Lytechinus pictus: one gene and its partner. The protein of the gene in region 1 interacts with the protein of each later gene in a pairwise test. Links are inferred from orthologs where the notes say so. Each region holds a gene or a part of one and is shown on either strand. Other genes may lie near its edges.

Region 1 (12,150 bases):
ATCCACGGTAGGTTGGAAAAGATTATTAATTTTAGATTTTTTTTTAAATCTCTCATGGACACCGAGCTCTTTCAATCGTACAAATTGCAATTCAAGTATTTCATATGATGTTTTGTCACTTTTGCAAATTTTGTCTAGGTTAGCTAAAAGTAAATTTATCGATTCCTTGTGTGTTCAAGAGGTTGTCAATCAATATTTACATTTTTATTTACTTTTTATGATATGATGACATGAAAAAAAAAAATTTGTTATTTAACAACCGAATACATTAACAATCAACTCTTTTAAACTCAACTTTATTAGAAGAAGATCGAGCTTTGTTTTAATCAATTGAAAAATATTAAATACACACAATTTCATTTACTGATCTTTGATACAGGCTTCTGTTCCTAATGGAGGGTTCTCTGTATTCTGCGTCCAGAAACAACCGGTGAGTACCTTTAAGATTTAAAGTTAACAATACAATACAAATAATATAAACTTTAGGGTGTGTTCTCTTTTGTTTACTAACGATAATGTATGTTTATGTTTATTCGGTGAAGCAAAAAAAAAAATTATAAATAATTATTTTAATGCCCAAAAGTGCACTTGTATTTCGAATTCCTTGAAATTTGAACCATTATTAAGCGAACTACAGAGCTATCTAATGAAGATGTTAACATCGTGTACTTAATACAGGACACTGGAACTTCTCCTGTATATGATTCCATCACAAAGGAACACAAGGATACATTACAATCTGACGAAAAGGTATAGTATTTTATTGATCTAAAAATTTATTTTAGCTTTAGAGCAAAGAAACGGTTCATAGTGAAGAATTTGCCATTTAATGGGATTATGAATACAAAAATGATTTTGATGATGATGATGATAATAATAATAGTAACAACAAAAACAATGATATTGGGTTCGTACATATATATCGCTCAGGTCTGTCAGAGTGTCAGATATAACTCTCAGGGCACTCCACGATATTTTTTTCTTTAGCCTAACTGTCTAAAGGGCGCTTTAGCATTTCAAGGAATCAATTCCTGCCGAATCTCTATTTACCTCAACTGAGTCGAATGGGGCATAATGTAGATTGATCAACTTAAATTATTTGATATTTTAAAGATCATATTTTCTCCTTGATCCTAAAGTTAAGTGTTTGATACATAGAAGGACAATTATTCATAAAACGGACTACAACAACGTAAAGAATCGTGTTGCATACACGATCCAAGAATTATTCCAATCTAACTTTCACCGTCAAGAACACTGTTGTCAAAGTTTACACTTCTTACTGTTTACGTATAAATTGAAACCTAATTTTCATATCAAATAAACTTTGCTTTTATTTCTTCTGTCATAGCTTGTTGCTCCAAAAGGAGGATATTCTATCTTCTCTGTGAACAAGCGACCGGTAGGTATCTCAGAATGTATGACCGTAGTTATTATGAGATGGATTTTAAATTCTTTATAATGGTAAATATCATCATACATTAAAGCAACGTGAATTATACTCTACTGCATATGATTTTTACCAAAATCTGATTGAACATGAATATACATACTTCCAATAGATAAACAATGATTTCTTTTACATTATTATGACGAGTTTACAAGTTAATGTAATTGTTTCTTCTATAAGGACACACCGTCTTCTTCCAAGAACACTGGCATGGATGTAACGGATCAAACACAGACCAATTCTGTGAACAAGGTAAGGGCATAAAAAGCACACATTGCACATAATTTACCAAATCAACTTATTTGAATTTTCATAGAGTTTCATTAAATTTGTTTGAGTCAATGTATGAATATATAAATATGTTTTGTTTGCACAGTTAGCTGTTTTAGTTTCAGTTTATGAATAAGTTTTAGCAGGGTATCTTGTCCATGGCTATAGATATTACACTCGTACTTTATTTAATATATTCGCATTTTATTGTAAGAAATGAAATGTCATTTTTCATATAAAAACGAATATGAGAAAACATACTTTAATAGTTCTTTCTATTTCATTCCTTGTAACAGAAGCAATCCAGTGGTAAGAATGCTTGCAACTTCCTGCCAAGGATCACACCATCCATCGAATCCACTTTGTCATCTTCTTCTTACACCATCAAAGGATCCGACTCTGATGCCAAACTGGCCAACTTTCCTCTGGAGAACCTGCCAGCGACTTGCAAACCCTATCAACATCAAGAGCCTCTGAAGACCAAGGCCCGTTGTGAATCTGTATATGATGCGGGATCTGATGATAAGGTGAATGAGACCTTGGCTGGTGAGAATCCGAAACAGATGGCCATCAGATCAGTGGATGACTCTGTCTTTCAACCTAAAGACACAGATGAAACCGAATGTTATAGCCAGGTCAACGGCGGCACCAAAGTGAGGCTTATTAGCGTGCGACCAGCTCAACATGCCAACTCGCCGTTAATGAACACTGGAGAATCCGATTCTGATTCTGAGGTACCCGAGATCCAAAGCCAGAATAACAGCGGCACTCCAAATGTGAGGTTAATTCAAGTAAAACCGGCCAAAGACCCATACGTGAAGATCGCTACTACCAGGCAATCTAGACCTGCCGATCAAGCTTTGGAGAAGAAGAGTTCAACTAAGGAATGCAACAACACCGTCAGCAGTGCACGCTTCATCACCGTAAAATCAGTGCACGAGCCTCTGCCAACCTTGGCTAATCGTGTATCTGCTGCTCTAGTCCAGAAAGCCCTTGATGCTACGAATGAGACCGTCCCAGAAATAAAATCAGTTTCTGACGATATTACAATCTCCCAGCCAGAGTCTTCTTCCTTGGCAACGAATGACGTGCTCCAGATCAAGAATCTCAGACCTGTTGTAGATTCTCAAACGTGGCAGTACCCGGTTCCTCCCCCTAAGATCCAGAACTGGACCACCGAGCCCCTGGAGCAATCAAAGAGCCAAGTCACCAACATCGGACAAGGAAAAGTTTCTGATGAAAATGTCCTCAATCTAGACAATGGACATCCAACCTGTCCAAGTGAAACAGATATTGCTTCAACATCTGGGGATCACGCTCTTGTTCCTGTGGCCAATGGAGGGGACTTTTCGAAGGTGATTTATGATTTTTTTCTTCAAATGTCAGGCTTTTATTCTTTTAACGTCACTTTACATAATATTTAATTAAAAAGTGCTTTTGGGCTTTACAAGAGACGCCGTGAAATTCTCTTTTGTACTTGAAAATATTTATTTATCTAGTGTTTTTTCTCATATCCTCTATGTAGCCTTCTAAAAAAACCCGGAAGGAGCCTTCACAAAGACGATTCCCCAAATCAACCAACCCGGGAATGACAACGGATACCTCTTCTCATAACCAAAAAATGGTAATTACACAATCCGAATCTATTCAGTGTATTTTCATATGAATTTGTTTCTTTACTGTTAAGTGGTGACTCTATAAAAGATATATTTCATTACATGTTTAAAACAATCCAAAACATCTAAAACATTTCGATTACTAAAGATTATTGAAACCTAAACTTTGTTTAGAAAGGTTTGAAATAATCTTATAATGCTGATTAAACATTGGAAAAATTGTGTGATTTTGATGATGTCTTTATGTAACACGTGTCAGTCGTCAATGCATGTACCATGCAAACCAACTATATTTTAAATATCAACTTTCTATACCATGTTTTTAATCGTATTTCACTTTTTCCAGCAGCTCATATTTTTGAGATCTTCTTATTCTCTTTTATTCCTTTTCATCCTTTTCATATTTCCTTGTCTTTAGGCTATGGATTCAAAGACAAAGAAGAAGAAGCTCAAGAAATTCCTAAAGCTCGCACGCAAGCACAAGAACAAGCCTGCGAAAGCGGATTAGGAACTATCAGATCGCTTCAACTATACTGCAATGATTGAAAACAAACCGGATACCTTTGGGTCATAAACAAACCTTCAATTCACCTAGAATATTATCCCATAAGAAAAAAAATTGGCAGGTCTTTGGATCATTTACCGAAACTGAAAAAAAAAAAAAAATTCAATAAGTCTTAGTTACGAACTCAAAAATACAATTTATTTTGTTTAGGAAAAAGGCTAAATATGCAACAGGTCATATACAGAGAGCCACTGTTAACTGAAGCAATCAGGGGGCTTTAATTTCATTAAAAACTGGCAGAGTTATGAATGATGGTTACAAACAAATGCAGGCTTGTTCATTTATTTCCAAAAGGATAATAGTATGTTATATTCTGATCATAGACAACTTTATTTCAGTTCTGATTTTCAAAGAGAATTTATTTTGCAGTTTGAGGAGTCCATTGCCATACTCTTCAACCACTAATGATTAGTTACTTAAAAAGTCATATTGAAATAATTCAATGACGAATCTTGAACATACTTGAAAATTGAATTCATTTAACTTAATGAAACAAGAATATTGTTAACGAAATGTAATTTTGAGAAGTATGCATACCTTATCTAAATAAAGCTCAAAAACAATCTGCAGATTCTGACATGCCATACTATGAATCAAGCTATATATGATAATGGAAATGCTTTGTTAAGTCTCATTCTCAATAAAGAAATATTAAAATAATCAACGTTTAACACGTTCTTGTTTCTAGATGTGTGAAGTAAGCGCATAATGTGAGTGTGAGTTGGTTTGTTGGTGTATGTTGGTGAATATATGTGTGCATGCGTGACACACACAAGTTGGCTTGGTTTGGTATATTCATTTTTTGTGTTTTTTTTATATTTTTCTTCTGTAAAATCTTCTGTTTTTCTAGCAGTGTATAGAGTAAATTAATTCTAAGGATCGATCATTTTTAAATCTCAAATGATTTCATATCAAAATGCATCGGGCTTTAAAACTAAATATTCATGTTTCAAGCTAGATCCAGAATTCGATTCGTCCTTGACTACAATTCCACCATATATACATACATATATTTTATATATATATATATATATATATATATATATACATATATATATATATATATATATATATATATATATATATATATATATATATATATATACATATATGCACTTGAGGCCATAAGTTTACATACACCCATGGAATTTAGTGAAATTTGTTCGCTTGCCAAACATCGTAAAATTTACTTTATCTTCAGAAAAAAATACCACCATGACGAATTTGGTATCAAAATAATAAAAGAGCATGTTAATCTCTTTCACATAATTGGAATGCCATTGGGATTAAAGTATATTTCAGGTGGAATTATCTTTGAATAAAAAATAATATTTGTTCCAAATGTATTATGTTTGTTGTTTTATTTTCAAACATCGTTTCATAGAAATATAAAATGTCAAATCTTTGATTTATATAACATTTTCTATCATGATATGTCACCATTGAACAAAAAAGTGTAATAAAAAATTTTTGTGTTGAGAATTAACTAGGTGACAAATATGAAATGTTTTTGTTAAGTTTTTATTTTTGATTTTTCTAAAATATGAAGATTTGGGGGCAAAAATGACACCTAAATATTTTTTAGCAACTGATGACAAAGCAATGTAATGAAGGGGCATGACATACTCACTTGTTTGATATCAAATTCGTCATGGTAGCACAAAATTTCATAAGATACTGTACATTTTATGATTTTTGGCAAGCGAACAAATTTTGATATGAAATCATTTGAGATTTAAAAATGATCGATCTTTAGAATTAATTTACTGGATTTACTCTACACTGGATATGGATCACAGTTAAAAAAGAGCCTATTATGTTTAATTATCATTACTTTGAGTCTTGACATAGGACCGGAACATTCTAAGAACATTATGTATATATATATATATATATATATTCAATAAAGAAACATCTAAGAAGGGTAAAAAAAGTATCCATGTATTTGTTTGATAAATAAGACTGATAAAAAATCTGACAATGTCCCCTTCCTCCCTTTCTTCTCTTTCTCCGCTTAGCTTCATTCCCTAAAATGCGTCTATCACTATATAATGATATGAATGCGTATGCCCTAAAATAATCCTGATGTGGAGGACGTGTAATGAAAAGTATTTTCAGGGTGAATTTTGCGACTTTACAAGAAAACTTATTTTGATCGCGTGCCGGTCGGATCTATATTTCGCAGTTTTCCTTTCCTTTTCTCCCCTTTTCTTCTCTCTTTCTTGGTCATAGAATTATTTTTTGGGGGGGTATACGGCTCCCAACCCTCATCTTTATGCCAATGTTTACATCTATTTTGGTAATACCAGTCCTACTACTTTAGTGAGGGTGATTTACCATCAAATTCCTTCAGATATATTGAAATCGAAACTGATAAAAAAATCAGATCAAACGTTTCCTTGCAATAACAAAAAAATTTTAAGCTCCGCTCTTGTAATTAAGCATCATAATTTACTCAGGGGCGGATCCAGGAATAGGATTTCCCGGTAGGATTTTCCAAGGGGGGGGGGGTTCCGAAGAAAAATGAAACAAGCTAAAAAAAATCCGCCAGTGACCATAATAATACCCAGCTTACCATTATAAAAGCTGCTCCATCTTTCTTTAAAGTTACCAGAAACAAAAGCTTTTAAATTTGTCCTATTTTTTCATTAATTGTCAGTGTATGCGAGCCCGTAGCTTAATCTAGGGAGTAGGGACGTACTGCCGCGTCTTAGAAAGAGTTTCATTAACATAAAAGTCATCTAAAAAATAAGATTTGACAACTTTCTTGATTTTTTTTTAATGGGAAGCACAGGCGTATTGCTTTGCCTATATTAACTATCGAGTAAAACGACGGAGATGTATTGCTGTATTTCTATTAACATAAAACAGATCCTACTGTCGGATTAAAATATCCAACAACAACAAATCCTTGTAACGCTCCCTAGCTCGAGCTCAACCTATTAAGTAACCTTGTGAAGTTCTTTCAGCCCTGAGGAATGTTTCATCAACATTTGTCATCCGACAAGTTGTCAGGTCTGGCAAGTTTCTTGATTTTAATTGATTGCAAGTGTCTGTTTCTACAAAATATCCGAAAAGTTATTTCATGAAATCCCCAGGGCCCAGGTCTGAAGAGTCTTTTGCTCTCACAGCACTTTTTATTTCCCATTTTCTTCGCCCTAGATAAGACACCATAGAAAGATTGACACGAAGGAATTTGAGAAAGCGCATCCCGAATACTGAGTCGGTATTTCCTCCTTCATTTATCGGCATTTTCTAAGAGTTGGGGAGCAATCTGTGGTAAAAGAAAGGTTTTTAAAATGCCAAGCAAGAAGAAGAAGTACAACGCAAGATTTCCACCTGTAAGTAACAACGGTTATTCATAAATGTACACTAGACCATCGTGTCCACGTAGCAGCGGCCCTCGATTCCCGACTGGCCGACCGATGCGTGATGCCTGCATGCAACCGGCTTGGGGCCTTGACCGCGGGGAAGCTTCAGGCGGTGTTTCGGCGGCGCGGCGGAGCTCGAGATCTTGAACTTTTTTGAAGATGTGCCGGCTTTGTCTGACTGAAAATTCGAACGATAACGTCAATAGCAGAGCCGAAATATAGCCGATCGCGATATTTAGGAAATGAAAAAATGAAAATCCATATTTTATTGTTCGAAATAGACGTGAAATGAAATACTCCGAAAATTTGCTTTGCCCAATTGATCATGGGCCCGGCAGCCGCTGTGCAGCGCCAGATCGACAAGGCTCTATGTCTATCCCTTTAATCATTGAACGCCGAATAGGGTAGCAGCAACTCCCATCTTTTAACGTCTTTTGGTCTGACGCGGCCGGGGTTTGAACCCCCAACCTCCCGGTTGTGAGACGGACGCTCTACCAACTGAGCCAACACACCGGTAACAAAACTGGGCATATTGTTTATTGACCTCGAAATGTGACTGATACCTCGTCTTAACCTAGAGTCTACTGTTTTGGCCTGAAATGCACCAAAACTGGGAAAAATTTAAAAGGGAAAAACTGACTTACTTCGGCTGTCACGCAACTTCACTTCCCTGTTTTATTTGAACTTAATACATAAACATATGGGGCCTGTTGCATGACGAGATGAGCGATACGTAGGAACGTCCTAGGACCATTCTTCCGAGATATAAAGATTGGCGACAAATCAGCGCTTTCCGTTTCACGAAGGCAATTTTGTCTTCCAAGTCCGCGACATCATTTGATATCGATAGTATCGGAAAAATATTTAGTCTTCAACGTCACCTGAACATGTTATTTCTGAATGACGACTTTACATAAAATCCGATATTTCAATAAAAGGAGATCAAATAATGTTTTATTTATTACTGATAGTAGAATTGATGTATGGAGCTTACTTTATGAGGTTAAAAGAGAAAAAACTTTAAAGATTCACAAACATAACTAAAATAAAATTGAAATTTTCATTATTTCCCTTATTTAGAACACGGTGTCTTTTTAGAGACACCTTTTATTGATATTTCAACGAAAGAGACCCTTGTCCGACATAAAAATTGATTTAACTATGTAATTTCGACATTTATTAGTTCAATATTCTGTATTTTTATAGAATACTTGTATATAATGATAATTGTGCAAATTATGTGTTAATATGTTATTTGTTGAGGTAAATATAGGGTTTGAATGGAGTAAGCAAAATCAACAGTGTCTGATTGTATGAGACTAAGAAGGAAAATATGAGATACGAGATGGCGGACACGAAAGCAAAAAATGCATTGCAGAAAAAAATTGAAGTCAACAACAAATTATCTTTAACAGAAATAAAACATCTCATTTTCAAAAGATACACTCTAGAATGGCAAAAAAGATGGAATGAATCCCATCGCCTACTTAAACTATACCATCCCACTGTTAACTCTCCCTTTTTTTGTTCCCTAAGTAGATTCCACGAAACCATTATCCACAGACTCCGTTTTGGTGTAATAGGATTGAACTACGATTTAAAAAGACTTAATATACACCCCACGGGACTTTGTGATACATGTAGGCCCAACAAATTAGAAACAGTTGAGCATTTTTTAATCGAGTGTCCCAAATATATAATAGAGAGAGCCATGCTACTTACAGAAACAAATCTATCAACCCCCCAAAAAATAATGGATCTCTTAAAGAGTACTAAGGTAGAAACCCAATCTGCATTGGTCCGTTTCGTTCTCAGAACGAAACGATTATAAAGTCTGAATTTTCTCCGCCCCCTAATTTTGTATTTTTTATTTATTTATTTATTCATTATTATTAATTTTTTTTTCTACAAGAGTTAAATCTATGAAAGGGAGACACAAAGCAGAAGAAGATGCAGACACATGGTCGATTTTTACTCACTTTCCTATGGTCCTATACATTTTGATTATATATGTCATTTTACTACATCGACAACAGATAGCCCGTAACCGTAACGCGGAGCTCAGCGATCGTCGTGGATCCTGTTTTTCTCTTTTTTTTTTTTTTTTTTTTTTTTTTTTTTTCCCTTATTCTTTTTTCCCTTCCTTACCCTTTGCTAATTATCTGAGTTCTTTAATTTGGTAATTTTGTCAGGGGGGACAGAAAGGAGTTAAGAATGAAGAGAGAAGTTTTGTTGTTTATTTGTTTGGTTTTGTTTTCAAGTTTGTTTGCTTGTTTTTTTTTTTTTTTTTTTTTTTTTTTTTTTTTTTTTTTCACTTTCCTCCCATACTTTAGTTTTCGGTGTCCCGAAACCTGAAGTTTTATCAGGCCACAAATCCAGTTTACTTTTGTTTTCTCTATTGCAGCTTAATGTAGCAGAAGAAAATACAACGTGCTGCAAGAAACAGAACGCATAAAAAAAAGAAAAAAAAGGAAAATTCTTATTTTAAAAGGACAAAAAATACAATATGTCTATATAAGAAGAAAAGAAAAGAAAAGAGAAAAAATGAAACAAGAAAAGAAAAAAGAGAACAAAAGAAAAGAAAAAAAAAAAAGAAATGAAAAGAAAAAAGAGAAAAGAAAAGAAAAAGAATAGGAAAAAAAAGAGAAGAGAGAAAAAAAAAAAAAAAAGAGATAGGAGGAAAAAAGAAAAAAAAAGAAAAATAACAAGAAAAGAAAAGAAAAATAACAAGAATAACAAGCTGTTGAAAATGAACAAAAGCTGTGGCAAAAATAGTCAATCCTGACTGGTTGCCAACCAAGGAAAGAAGAAGAAGAAGAAGAGGCTGCATGTGAAAAATCTAATTTATTTATTTTATTTGTCAGATAAAATGCAAGAAATACAATGTGAGTGTTTAGAGTATAAACATACCTCAGTTGCATGATGAGTAACATAAGAAAATGAAAATATGAAAATTGCTGCAAACATGTCCAAGTGGATAAAGTAGTACTTTGCAATAATAATTAAAACATAGAAAAAGGTGTGAATCAATCCGCAATGGAAAAAATACTTTTACAGAAATAATGCTAAATATGACAACAATCATAAACGCTGGTCATATTTAAAGATGATCACTTATTTTATGGAAGTTTATATTATAGATATATGGACTGCTTTGAGAGGCATGGTTGTTTCTAGAGGCTCAAGGGGACCGCAACGCGACTATGCCCGAGGGCTTTGCCCGAGGGCATGGTCTGGCCGATGCGGTACCCGCGAGCCGAATTGAAACAACCATGTCTCGAATATAAAAGCAGTCCATATATATTTTATGAACCGAATTATTAAACATAAACGTTAGGGCTTGGTCTAGGTTTAGATCAAGTAAAACTAAAACAAAAAAGCCTGCCCCTGGCCTAGGCCCAAGGCTAACGTAAGGTCTAGGCCCTTACTTAGCCCTGCCCTGAAGTTAGGTCTCAAATCGAATATCAAAGCAGTTCCCGAGCAGTTCATACCGATAGGCCCTACTAGGCCTAGGCTAGATATTTTTAGGAACCAAATTAGGGTCTGATTCTGAATAGGGTCTAGGGCCTACAGTGTAGCTAGATCTAAAGTTCAGTCTTAAAATTTAGACTAGAGTATAATCTAACGTTAGATCTAGTCGACTAAACCTACGTCCTAACGTTAGATCTAGAGTCTACTCTTAACTTCTAAGCTAACGACAATTAACATTAGATCTACCTGTCCTAACGTTGTCGTTTGTCAATACCTAACTGTCCCAGGCTAAGGTTAAGTAACGACATGAACGAGTTAAACGTTTATTGTTAGAAAGTGCAGTGACCGTCTAATCTTTTCACCTGACTCACCTTTTGCGAGCATGCATTTGAGCGAACTTCCCCAAGACTTGATGATTGATATACATCCGTTATGTCCTTAATAAGCTAGTTTTATTTTCAATAAATGCCATATATTTTAACAGGAATTAACAAGCAAAAGTCAAAGATCGGCATCGTTCCATCGATATGTCATATCCGTTGCGCGCACTTGCGCAATAAGCGCGTAAATGCGCGAATTGTTTAAAACTTTCGATCAAATCGCGCGGATATTTATGGTATCCGTAATCACCGCAGAAAGCAACATTTTGCATGCAATCAAATGGGGATTTCAGCCAAATTTTGCTATGCCCGTCGTTAAGGGGCGGATCAGGGGGCAACGGGCAGAAATCTTGTTAACTATGCCCGTTGCCCTTGGTTACCACCTTAGTTTGTTGTTTTGAAGGCATGGTTGTTTACATGACCTCAGTTTTGACCAATCAGAGGAACGGATTATTCGACATTCTTAAAGAGAGGTTTATAAAAGAATATAAGGTTTAAGAAATAACATAAAAGATTAAAAATGCGCCTCTTCGTATGGACTTTCCATAATCTTTTCTTTAATGAACTTATCTTCATTTGTAATGATTGTGATGGATTCGTAAGCTATAGGCTTAATCTGTATCTTAAATTCAATATTAGCTGCAGGTTTTTTGTTTTGTTTCACTGTTTCAAATCCAACAATTAATTTTCATTGATTAAAATAAATCTCAGCAAAAAAAATAATTATAAGGAAAATAAAATAAAAATAAATAAATGATTTAGCATGTTTAACATCTTAGTTTTGTTTGTCTTGTTTTTTTTTTTGCTGAATGTTATTGAACACGTTTTTTACCTTACATAATTTCTTTTAAAGAAATTTGTTGTTTATTTTTAATGAGAAAGCATGAGGGGTCGGCTAAAGAGATATAGTGCCGCCCATTTCAAGTATTTCAAGTTTATTTTTTTAATAGAAAAGGGGTGGGGATAAGACAGAGGGAGAATAGAAGAAAACATATTTTAAAAATATGATTTGGCCCTATACATTACC
Region 2 (11,469 bases), on another chromosome or scaffold:
AGACCCATGTCAATTTGCCTATCGGTCAAAGAGAAGTGTAGAAGATGCTACCCTTGTTTTCCTCCATAAGATATATGAGCATCTCGATCGTGCAAAGTCGTACACGCGATCACTATTTCTTGACTTGTCGAGTGCATTCAATACGATCGCACCTCATTGCCTTGTACAAATGTTGATAGATATGAATGTAAACCCCAGACTTATTTAATGTATCCAAAATTTCCTTTGCTCGAGAATTCAATCAGTTAAAGCTGGGAATTGTCAGTCAAGAGAGTTGGTGACGCAAATTGGAGCCCCCCAAGGTTGCGTATTATCTCCCGTTCTTTTCTCGTTGTACACGAGTAATTACATAGGTACGAAGACATCCCGCAGTGTAATCAAGTATGCCAACGATACCGTGATAACAGGCTACCTGTTCAATGATCCTAATGAATATATCTCACAGATAAATGATTTTGTCAGTTGGTGTGACGATCATTACCTGATATTGAATACCAGTAAAACCAAAGAAATTATCATTGATTTTCGGAAGGGTGATAAAATTCATGAACCACTCCGTGTTCACGGAGATGTCATTGAGCAGGTACATGAGTACAAATACCTCGGAACAATCATTGATGACAAGCTCTCATGGAAGCAAAATTGTCTATCAGTACAAAAGAAAACAAATCAAAGGATGCTTTTCTTGCGAAAACTTAGAAGTTTTCACATCGATAAAACTATACTGAAACTGTTCTATCAATCAATCATCAAAAGTGTAATAACTTGCAACCTGGTATGTACTTTCGGAAATATGTCAAACGAGCAAAAACAAAGAATAGACCAGATTCGACAAATTGCACAAAGGACGATAGGCATGGATTTGTCCCCTGTCCAAGCAATTTACGAAGAACGCATACTTGCCAAAGTACATACCATAATGGCAGACAAGACCCACCTCCTCAATAATTGGTTCCGGTTTAATGGTTCAGGAATACGGCTGTGTCCCCCCCCCCCCCCCCCCCCCCCCGCACACGCCTTTCCCGCTACCGGTACTCCTTTATTCCTGATTCTATACATGTGTATAACTCAAAAGTAACATGATGAGATATCTTCTTCTTCTTCTCCTCCTACTCAGTTCTTCTTCTTTTTCCCCTTTTCTCTCCTTTCTTGTTCTTTCTTTTCCCTTTCTTTCTCTTCTTCTTCTACACTTTACCTTTCCCTCCAGCTTCCTTTCATATTTTCCTACATATCTATCACTCTCTTATGAATGGGTGTTTTGTAAGTGTCAATTTATGATGATTATATACCGCATACTAGGATGGGGGGGGGGGGGTGGGGTTAGCAGCATGCAGACATCTCATCACCTATTTCTTATAATTTATGAATTTCGAATCATGAATTCTAAGGGTTATCAACCTATTGTAGAAATGTTTTCACTAAAGTTGTATTGTTTTTTTATGTAGAGTTAGATTGCTATGATATATTTTATTTTGCATTTTTGTGTGTATGTTATGAGTTTAAAGCCATTGGAAACTAAATTTCTCTGTATGCCTAGCATTCATGGACCAATAAAACAATCTTGAATCTTGAATACTAATATCAAATATTCAAATGCTTCTCCATTACATATTAATGGGCTCTATTAAAGAAAAGATACAATTGTTCAATTACTAAAGCATATCTGTATTAATCTATGGCAGACCATAAAAAAAAATTCACTATAAATTGTGGATATTATTATTAAGTGTAACTCTTTATGTTACACTATTACCTCCCCCCCTAATTAGGCTCCAAATGGCAAACTTTATGTATGTTCTTCCCTTTTGTTGAGTTTATAGTAGCCTTTGAAGTGCAAAGCTGTTGAAAGTACCTTTTCAAAGAGCTCCTGCTGTTGTCTAAGGAGTTCTTCTTCAGGTATACCAAGATTCTCAAGACGAGTGCTTGCTTTCCTCTTCTTTGCTGCCACCGTCTTACATTCCTCTAGAACTGACTTGCACTCTTGCAGGTAATCTCCAAACCCTAGGCTGTCCAATGCTGCAAATCATTTAAAAACAAACAAGAGAAAACCTAAAATTGTGAGCATAAATTTTGACAATGAATGCATGCATTGCACGATGCCAGTCAAATTCTACACATTTTCATTCTGGTCAAATGCATTAACAATGTAACCTGTTAGTGCCTCTGGTGGATAAAGCTTTTCATAAGTTACGAGTGAGTTTACGAACGGCTTGTAACGACATTAGATTCTCATAGGTATTCCTTTAGTTTCTCATCCCAGGTAACCAGTTGTTGTAAATTACTCCTAACTTATGAACAGCTTTATGACCCATCCCCTACTCTGAAACCATTTACCTTGAAGCGCATGTTCTGGCGATATCGTCTTCTTGGCCTGCTTATTGCAAATATCATTTGCTTCTGATGAAACCAACTGAATAAACTCAGTACAGCAATTTAAAATGAGTTCTCTCGCATCATTAGCAACTCTGACATTGGGTAGTAATTCCTTGATCATCTTGTTAAGAGGGGCACGAGGGACAGTTAGCTCATCCTCTGGAAGTTGAGAAGATTGTGAATCTGCCATCGTTACTACCTGCAAAATACGGTAATCAATAGAGTTACATTTATATACTGTAATATATGGTATTTCTAAGCGCTTTACATTGCAATTACTATTACCCAAATAATTGGAATTATTTCAAACACTCCTTGATATATAAGGAAGGAATACCATAACTTTTTTTCTACAAGTATATGTAATGGGGCGATTCCATACGTGTCGTACGGGACATTTTGTCAACAATTTCTAGTCTCTTAGCTGATTGCTTGAGCAATAAAAAAATTATTTTTGGTCAATAATAAAGTTATAGCGGATAGTCATGTGAAAACCTGATTACCGACAAAAAATATTTGATTATGGCTGAATTAAGGGCAAACAAGTTGTGTGTCGACCCGTACGGGACTCAGAAATGTCCCGTACGACACGCAACAGTTTCATCTCTAATTCACCCATGGACAGCATATATTTGTTGGTTGTCATTTTTCATATGTCTACCCAGTAGTACTCTATTATTACCACAAAACAAATTTAAGTTCTTTGTTTGTTTGGACAATAGGTTGAAAAATGTTGCGAAAATAGCTGATTTTTCTAGCATGGAATCGCCCAAAGGCTTCTTGACTGACTACAGGGCTCAAATTAAGAATTCATTGGGGCAATGCAAAGGGAAGGAAGGCAGTGCTCACTTCAGAGGGCATCCAAGGCCATTAAAACAGGGTATCAACAGTAAAATGTTCTTTTCAATAGGACACATGCACTGGATTATCTCAGGGAACAAAGGCCATATTATTTATTTTGTAATTATCTGTGTTACTGTTTGAATATATTTTTGTGTCATTATTACCTTGTAATACATTGCAATTCGGCCTTAGCCACGATGATGTCATGATTTTTATCAATAAACCATTTATCTATCTATCAAAGACAACAAGAGTGTCGCTAAGGCGAGCACATAATACGCCCGCCTGTAACGCGGAAAATGGAGTTATGGTCAAGCAAGAAAAGTGGAAGGTAGCGACTTCACCTTTGACCTTCTGACCTCAAAATCAATAGAAGTACTGGTAATTACTGGGATCTATGCTAGTTCATACACAACAAATTTTATGAGCCTAGGTTAAGTTCAACTTAAGTTAGCGCATTAACAAGGACTTCAGAAGGGTAAGATGAAAACATGTCACTGTGATCTTGACCTTTGACTTTTTGACCTCAAAATAAATAGGATTCCTGGGATCCATGCTAGTTCATACACACCAATTTATATGAGCCTAGGCTAGGTTAAGTTAAACTAAAGTTATCATGTTTCAAGGACTTCAGAAGGATAAGATGAAAACATGTGAGTGTGACCTTGACCTTTTGACCTCAAAATCAATAGGCTTCCAGGGATCCATGTTATACACACCAAATTATATGATCCTAGGTTAAGTTAAACTAAAGTTAAAGTAAAGTTATCACATATACAAGGACGACAGAAGGGCAAGATGAAAACATGTCAGTGTGACCTTGACCTTTTGACCTCAAAATCATTAGGCTTCCTGGGATCCATGCTACTCATACACACCAAATTATATGAGCCTAGGTTAAGTAAAACTGAAGTTATCGTGTTTACAAGGAAAAGTTAACTGACAGACGGAAGGACCAACGGACACCGAGCGTGATACCATACGTCCCGTCTAGGACAGGCGTATAAAATGAAGGAAAAAAAATTGAACTGAATTGAATTAATTCATTTCAAACCAAAGTAACCAAACATATATTGTTTATCATATGCATCACTATAGTAATAGTATACATCAGGGGCCGCGGATCGGTTTTCAAAGTGGGGGGGCTGAGCCAAAAGTGGGGGGGGGCTGATCATGCTAAAAATCACAATCATATGGTCATTTTTTCGTTTTTGTACACGGCTTTGGAAAAAAGTGGGGGGGCTGAAGCCCCCCCAGCTCCCCCGGTTCCGCGGCCCCTGTACATTTACAGGAGTTTACACATCCACTGTTTATAACAAGACTAGAGTAGAGTCAAGAAAGAATACTTTTTACTTCAAATTTAGTTCAATATAAAGTCTTTAAACTTAAGTCTAACTTGTAATGTTAGACTAAGTCTAGAGTAACTAATTAAGATCTATCTTTGACTTTGACTTTGTATCGCCTAGCCCTAACGTTAGGCCTATTATTTCTCTCAAATTTTTGATTTTATGAGGATTTTTGGCACACTAACCATGCTAACTCATGAGAATATAAGGAACACTATCGACTGATTTTTTTTGTGAAATAAAAATAATAATAAAATCATTTATAAAATTATAGGTGCGCAGTCACAGAATTGTGATATCCCCATTGGAAATGTGTGCACAAGAAATTGCACACGCCAGCAATAGAAATGCCATGGTGGTCCGGCTGCAGAGGCTGAGGCCTGAGCCTCTGAGTCTGACTCTGAGGCTGAGCTGGCTCAACCCACTCGGCAAAAAAAAATGAAGAAATAAATAAAACAAAATAGTTTTTAAGGCATGCAATTTGAATCGAACCAACTTGACCTTGCTAAGCTGACGACACCTTGCTATGAAAACGTGCCTGTCCTGAAACCCGAGTTAAAGCTGCAGAAACAATCGAACGAGAGCGAGATAAAGTCAAGGCCGGCGGACCAATCGATGATGCGTCGGTCTCTATGCCCAGGCTAGGCGCGGCGCGGCCAGCCAGACCAGTCGGTCCGGCTGCGGCACCCGTTGTCCCCGAGACCTATATTACGTCATATGTGTTATGGCTGCACTTGGAAGAGCGACGGTCCGAGCCGTTCAAGGCAAGAAGAGGTTAATTCCTCAAAGGGCTGCTTTAGTTTTGGTGAGTGATCGAGATAGCTTTTTAATTTCCATCTCTTTTCCTGACCGTTAGTTTGTGTTTTTAGTGAGTGCAAGAGTTTATGAGCAAATTTGAGACAGTTTAATGAGACATGATTCGTACCGCGACGGGCCGGGCATGCGCATGCAGCAGAATAGGCCATGGGGCCTATCCTACCGGTACATAGCCTCTTGTCGAGGCCCTGTCGGCTTCTTTCCGAGCGAACATGGCAAAGCACGGGAGAGAGCGAAGCAGAGCGCCGCGAGACAGGGCCTCTGGACATCTGTACCGAATTTCACCGACTTTCTTTTGTTTTTTATTGTTTTTACCAATTCACCGACCAAAAACTGGTCGGTGAAAATCATCCAATGAGGAGCGCGAGCTGCTATGACGTCATATTAAATATTCATGAGCTCCTCTTGAATGGCGACCCTTGGATTCTTGGCGAAGAGTGACGACGAAATATCAAAGAGCACTGAATACGCCTCTAAAACGCTGAATATTGACCGATTTAAGGATTTGCAAGTCGATGAAATTAACTCTGCACTGAAAGGACGAGATGTCTTTGTAAATCTACCCACAGGATATGGAAAAAATGTAATATTTCATGCGATTCCACCGGTCGATCCGGGGCGTCGATTATCGATCTCCGCTGTGCAGTGCAGTGAGGGAAGCTGGGGGGAGTTGCTGGGAGTTGACTCGAGTCTGACCAGCGGCTGAGCAGTATCTCCCGGGAAGTTTCGGGGCGGTGATGGGTCTGTTACGGCCAGTAGTAATAGTAGTAGTAATAGTAGTACCACTACTTGTAGCATTTTGCTGGTTATATCCCCTTTATTGTCCCGCAATTAAATGAATCCCCTGCAGAATAGTGGACTACTATATAGTATTCCGAACCCAAGACGAAACAGCTCTGACATTTCATTGGTTTACTCGGTGACCGGTAATATCATGACTCATGTATATTCATTAGGAAGACGTTCCTCATGAATATATAATTCAGTTCAGATGTCAAGAGGCCCTGGCTCGCGCCAGGCCTAATTCGCTTCGCGAATTAGGAAAGCCCTCGCTTCGCTGGGGAAGCAGCCGCCAGGGCCTCGACAAGAGGCTAACCGGTACACGGCTCCGGCGGTGCGGCGTAGTAGGCGGCTACGGCCTACGCCTGCAAAGTGCAGGCTGCGCTGAGTCTTGCATCATGTCGTCGTTGTTTGCTCCACCATTACGGGCCCAGTGGCCGTCATCGGTCCATTGATGGAGGGAATACCGTGGAGTCAGGGGCCTGTTGCATGGAAGGGTCTTTCGTAGAACCATTCTCAGTAGAGGCGCTGGTCCAAAAATTGGGATTGTCCCAGAAAACAAGGATATCCTCATAAACCAAGACAAATCATGTCTTGATAAATTGAGACTGTCCTTGTTTATGGGGACGTTTTTTTTTCACTTCCCCCTACGGGACAAAGACAGCAATTACGGGAATTGTGAGTGCTAAAAATAGATTCAGTGACCTCAATTCCCCCCAGTTCACCGTCTATTTTTCATGACTTACCGTCTTCCAATAATCATGTTTTGAAACCTGATAATGTTTACATTGACTAGCACACTTGATTGGTGTCGGCACTTGACAGGTGAATGAACTTTCCTAGATTTCTTGTGTGAAGAAATCCTTATAAACTGAGACAGTCCCTGTAAACTGGAACGATCCCAATTTTCTGACCAGCGCCTCTACTGATTCTACGTAAGATAAGAACGAGATATCGCCCAACTTTTTCACAAAGCCGATTTGGGCGATACGAAGAATGGTCCTTGGAAAGACACCTCCAGACATGTCCTACGTAGGCATGATCTTCTTTGCACACTGCCCGCCACCGTCGGCATTGAGAGAAAATGCGTTTACGGCAAGCCACACTGACATATCACCTCTAAACATTTTTGGGGTTGCACACTGATGCATTTTATCTTGGATGGCGCCAAGTTATTTGTTATAATATGGGGGCTAGTTGTCATCAATTTCAGGTCGTCTTTTTGCACGGCAAGACGACCAAAAAACAGATGTCATTTTAACTTCTCCGGGCAGGGTTGGCACGTTTTAAACGGTGTGTTTTAAAACATGTTTTAAAACGCGTTTTAAAACACCCGTTTTTTTTACAAAAAAACGTGTTTTAAAACACCGCATAGGCTTGTGTGTTGTAAATTTGCATGGATGTGATTTTAGATTAATTTTTTAAATACTTTTATTTCTGAAGTGGTGTACTATTTTCTTTTAAGTTATAACTAATAAAAACTCTTTCTCCCAACTCTCTTTCTCTTTCCCCCTTTATTCTCCCTTTCTCCATTACTTTATCATGTTTCTTTCCTCCCTGTTCAATTGTGCACATCATTCCATATTAATAGAGTCTATATCTGAGTGTTGTGCTCACTTTTTGGACAGGGAAAGAAACACTATTTGAAATAAGCTCAAATACATGTATACTACATGTAATCGTAGTACTTCAATGAAATGGAAGTGTTGCACAAGCCTATATACTGTAAACAAATACAATGTAGACTGTAAAACTGACATTGTACTCTTGAAGTACACACGAAAGCAGGTGAAACTTTGCGCTTTGTATAGATGAAGAAAAGTAATTTAAACAGAATAAGATAGTCAGCTAGCAAACCTTAACCCTAACAATCCAAGGGGACCTTAACCCTATCTTAACTGGGCTATTTCAGACCGGAATATACTGATTGCACAATAACCGCAAAAATTTGCACGCGCGTAGAGCCGGATGTAAACTTCAAGACTGCATAATAAAATTTTCCCAAAAATTGATAATTTATATTTTTTTATTTATGCAAATAAGGGTATGAAATTTTGCCTAAATTAGTTTTTTTGTGTATGTATTTGCCTTTAACTCAATTTACGTAGCTAGTAGAATGCTAATTTCTGGTGGCAGTATCAATTTTTTAAATTTTTTTTTAACTCTTATGTATTTCTTTGTTTTTGAAACTTTTGTTTTTATTGTTTTTTCAAATGAACTTAGTCGGGGACCCTTTTGCAATCATAAATAGCATGAAATAAATCCATTTAAACCAAAAGTAAAAATAATCATACATTTATGATTTTTAGTTGAAAAACATAATTCAAGGCTCGACATTAGTGGTGGCCCGGTGGCCCGGGGCCACCAAAAATTCACCTCGGGCAACCATTATTGATAAAATGTTAAGTTTTGGTGGCCCGAATCGGGCAACCAATAATTTTCAAAGTAGCGCAATTTTTCTCCCAATTTTGCACGCATTTATCAACTTTCTACAGCTCAAATTGCAAGCCAGTTCGTCATGCGCCTTTTTTGTTGATCTACACACAAATACACACACACACAGTTTGCATATTAGGCCTACAGCTATAGCATACAGTAGCTATTATCCAGCCAGCCGCGCCGGCCGGCTGGCGTGAGCTTTGCATGAATCCACTGCATACAGCTGTACTGTGCATGCTCTAGATCTAGCTCAGCCTATTCAGACTCAGGGAGCTGCGATAAAAAATGTTGCTGCTGAGAAATCTTCCACAGAACTTTGAAAATCTAAGTCAAAGTCACCTTTTACACCAATGAAATGCAATTCTACAGTCTATATTACGAAAATCTGGTGTACCCTGATTATTTGCAAGTATTAAGAAGAGGAATTATGACCTCTCTTTTGACTCAAAAAGACCGATTTCCACATGAATTAATACACATAAAAACACATAGGCAAGTACATCACAGTCCCACGTGTGCATTTGTATGTATGTTGATACTTGGTTTCTTTCGAAGCTGTGTATTTTCTAGCCTTAAACAAACAGACAGTTTCTTTCTTTCTTGTTTATAAATGACTTCTTAAACCACTCTTGAGAAAGTAAATACTTTGGGAAGGCATTTCATTGATATGAAATGAGATTTTTTCCCCAACATTTTGGCAAATGTAGGGAAGGACTTTTCTCACACTTTTTTTCCAGATATAGTTTTTGCCGTTTTCTTTTTTTTTCTTTCATTTTTTTTTGACAGTGGTTAAACCATTTATACCCCTTCCCATTGAATATGCCTGATTAAAAAATATGTTTCTACTGAAAATAAAATAATACAATCTAAAGGATATAAAAATAGAAATGTGCCATTCCCAAAAGGTAAGTGAAAATTATATGCTTGGCTTTTTATTATATTCCAGTCAGAATAGACTTGCCACAGCTGTTAAAAATATATGTAATGGCTTCTTAATTTTCCCCTTTTCTCCATTTTTATATTAACTTTGTTTTATTAATTTTTCTTTCATTCTCTTTTCTTTTTTCTCTCAAATTTTTTTCTTTTCTTTTTTTCTTTTTTTCCCTGTTCTTTGTTTTTTTCTTTCTTCATTTTCTTTCTTTTGTGTTATTTCACTAATTTCTTTTATTATTTTTGTTTTCTTTTTGTTATATACTTTTTGAAAATTATTTTCGTTTGTTTCTCCCTTTTATGCATTGTTCTAATTTTGCAGCATATTTTTCTGTGATTTTCTCCTTCTATAATATGCTGCATAAGAGAAAACAGAAATAAACTGGATTTGGGGCATGCATAATCTAGGTTTTAGGATTCAAAGAGGAAGGAAGGAAAAACCATTGTTTTGTACATCTATCTGGGTTTGCTATGCACTATTTATTTACTTTACCATTATCTCTATACAGAGATTTTAAAAAAAGTCCACACAACCTGCGAACAATACAATTCATTTATTCACTTTCAATCATTTCATTTTTACAACGATAGAAACAATTATCAATTAGCAAAGTAAAATAACAGCAAACAAGGTTTACATGCAAGATGTATAAAGTGAAAGGAACTTAGTGGTAGTGGCTGCAGAATTAATATTTCAGAAGTTTGTTTTATTCATTTTTAATGTTTTTCTTTATATTTTTCGGGCCACCAAACTTTAATATCGGGCCACCAAAAAAAAATATTTGATGGTTTTGGTGGCCCGAACGGGCCACCACCAAAAAAAGTTAATGTGGAGCCTTGCATAATTTGCATATAGACTTTCAACACGGAATCACATTTTTGAGCAATTTGCTGAGAAATCTTCCACAGAACTTTGAAAATCTCAGTCAAAGTCACATTTTACACCAATGAAATGCAATTCTACAGTCTATATTACGAAAATCTGGTGGACCCTGATTATTTGCAAGTATTAAGAAGAGGAATTATGACCTCTCTTTTGACTCAAAAAGACCGATTTCCACATGAATTAATACACATAAAAACACATAGGCAAGTACATCACAGTCCCACGTGTGCATTTGTATGTATGTTGATACTTGGTTTCTTTCGAAGCTGTGTATTTTCTAGCCAAAAACAAACAGACAGTTTCTTTCTTTCTTGTTTATAAATGACTTCTTAAACCACTCTTGAGAAAGTAAATACTTTGGGAAGGCATTTCATTGATATGAAATGTGATTTTTTTCCCAACATTTTGGCAAATATAGGGAAGGACTTTTCTCACACTTTTTATCCAAAATCACCAGATATAATTTTTGCCGTTTTCATATTTTTTTTCCTTTCATTTTTTTTTGACAGTGGTTAAACCATTTATACCCCTTCCCATTGAATATGCCTGATTAAAAAATATGTTTCTACTGAAAATGAAATAATACAAACTAAAGGATATAAAAATAAAAATGTGCCATTCCCAAAAAGTAAGTGAAAATTATTTGCTTGGCTTTAAATAATTATATTCCAGTCAGAATAGACTGTTGCCACAGCTGTTTAAAAATATATGTAATGGCTTCTTAATTTTCCCCTTTTCCCCATTTTTTTATTAAGTTTGTTTTATTAATTTTTCTTTCATTTTCTTTTCTTTTTTCTCTCTAATTTTTTTCTTTTCTATTTTTCTTTTTTTCCCTGTTCTTTGTTTTTTTCTTTCTTCATTTTCTTTCTTTTATTTTATTTCACTAATTTCTTTTATTATTTTTTTTTCTTTTTGTAATATACTTTTTGAAAATTATTTTCGTTTGTTTCCCCCTTTTATGCATTGTTCTAATTTTGCAGCATATTTTTCTGTGATTTTCTCCTTCTATAATATGCTGCAAAAGAGAAAACAGAAATAAACTGGATTTGGGGCATG

Evidence for each region.
Region 2: the proteins of dr1-associated corepressor-like (region 1) and protein Dr1-like interact in a two-hybrid assay, tested with the Drosophila melanogaster proteins (2 studies listed by BioGRID, with this or other methods). The link is inferred for Lytechinus pictus from reciprocal best matches to the Drosophila melanogaster genes NC2alpha and NC2beta.

Annotation. Positions count from the first base shown.
Region 1 is NC_087251.1:39,084,071-39,096,220, forward strand, and holds the start of dr1-associated corepressor-like, read left to right. Parts: upstream 1-7,062; 5' UTR 7,063-7,200; coding exon 7,201-7,242; intron 7,243-12,150. Other genes in the region: mucin-2-like, read left to right, coding at 1-7, 380-430, 679-750, 1,352-1,402, 1,631-1,702, 2,017-3,075, 3,246-3,344, 3,755-3,844.
Region 2 is NC_087259.1:25,481,278-25,492,746, forward strand, and holds the start of protein Dr1-like, read right to left. Parts: upstream 5,318-11,469; 5' UTR 5,064-5,317; intron 2,573-5,063; 5' UTR 2,564-2,572; coding exon 2,335-2,563; intron 2,017-2,334; coding exon 1,853-2,016; intron 1-1,852. UniProt on the Drosophila melanogaster protein: Bifunctional basic transcription factor. Activates transcription of DPE (Downstream Promoter Element) containing promoters while repressing transcription of promoters which contain TATA elements.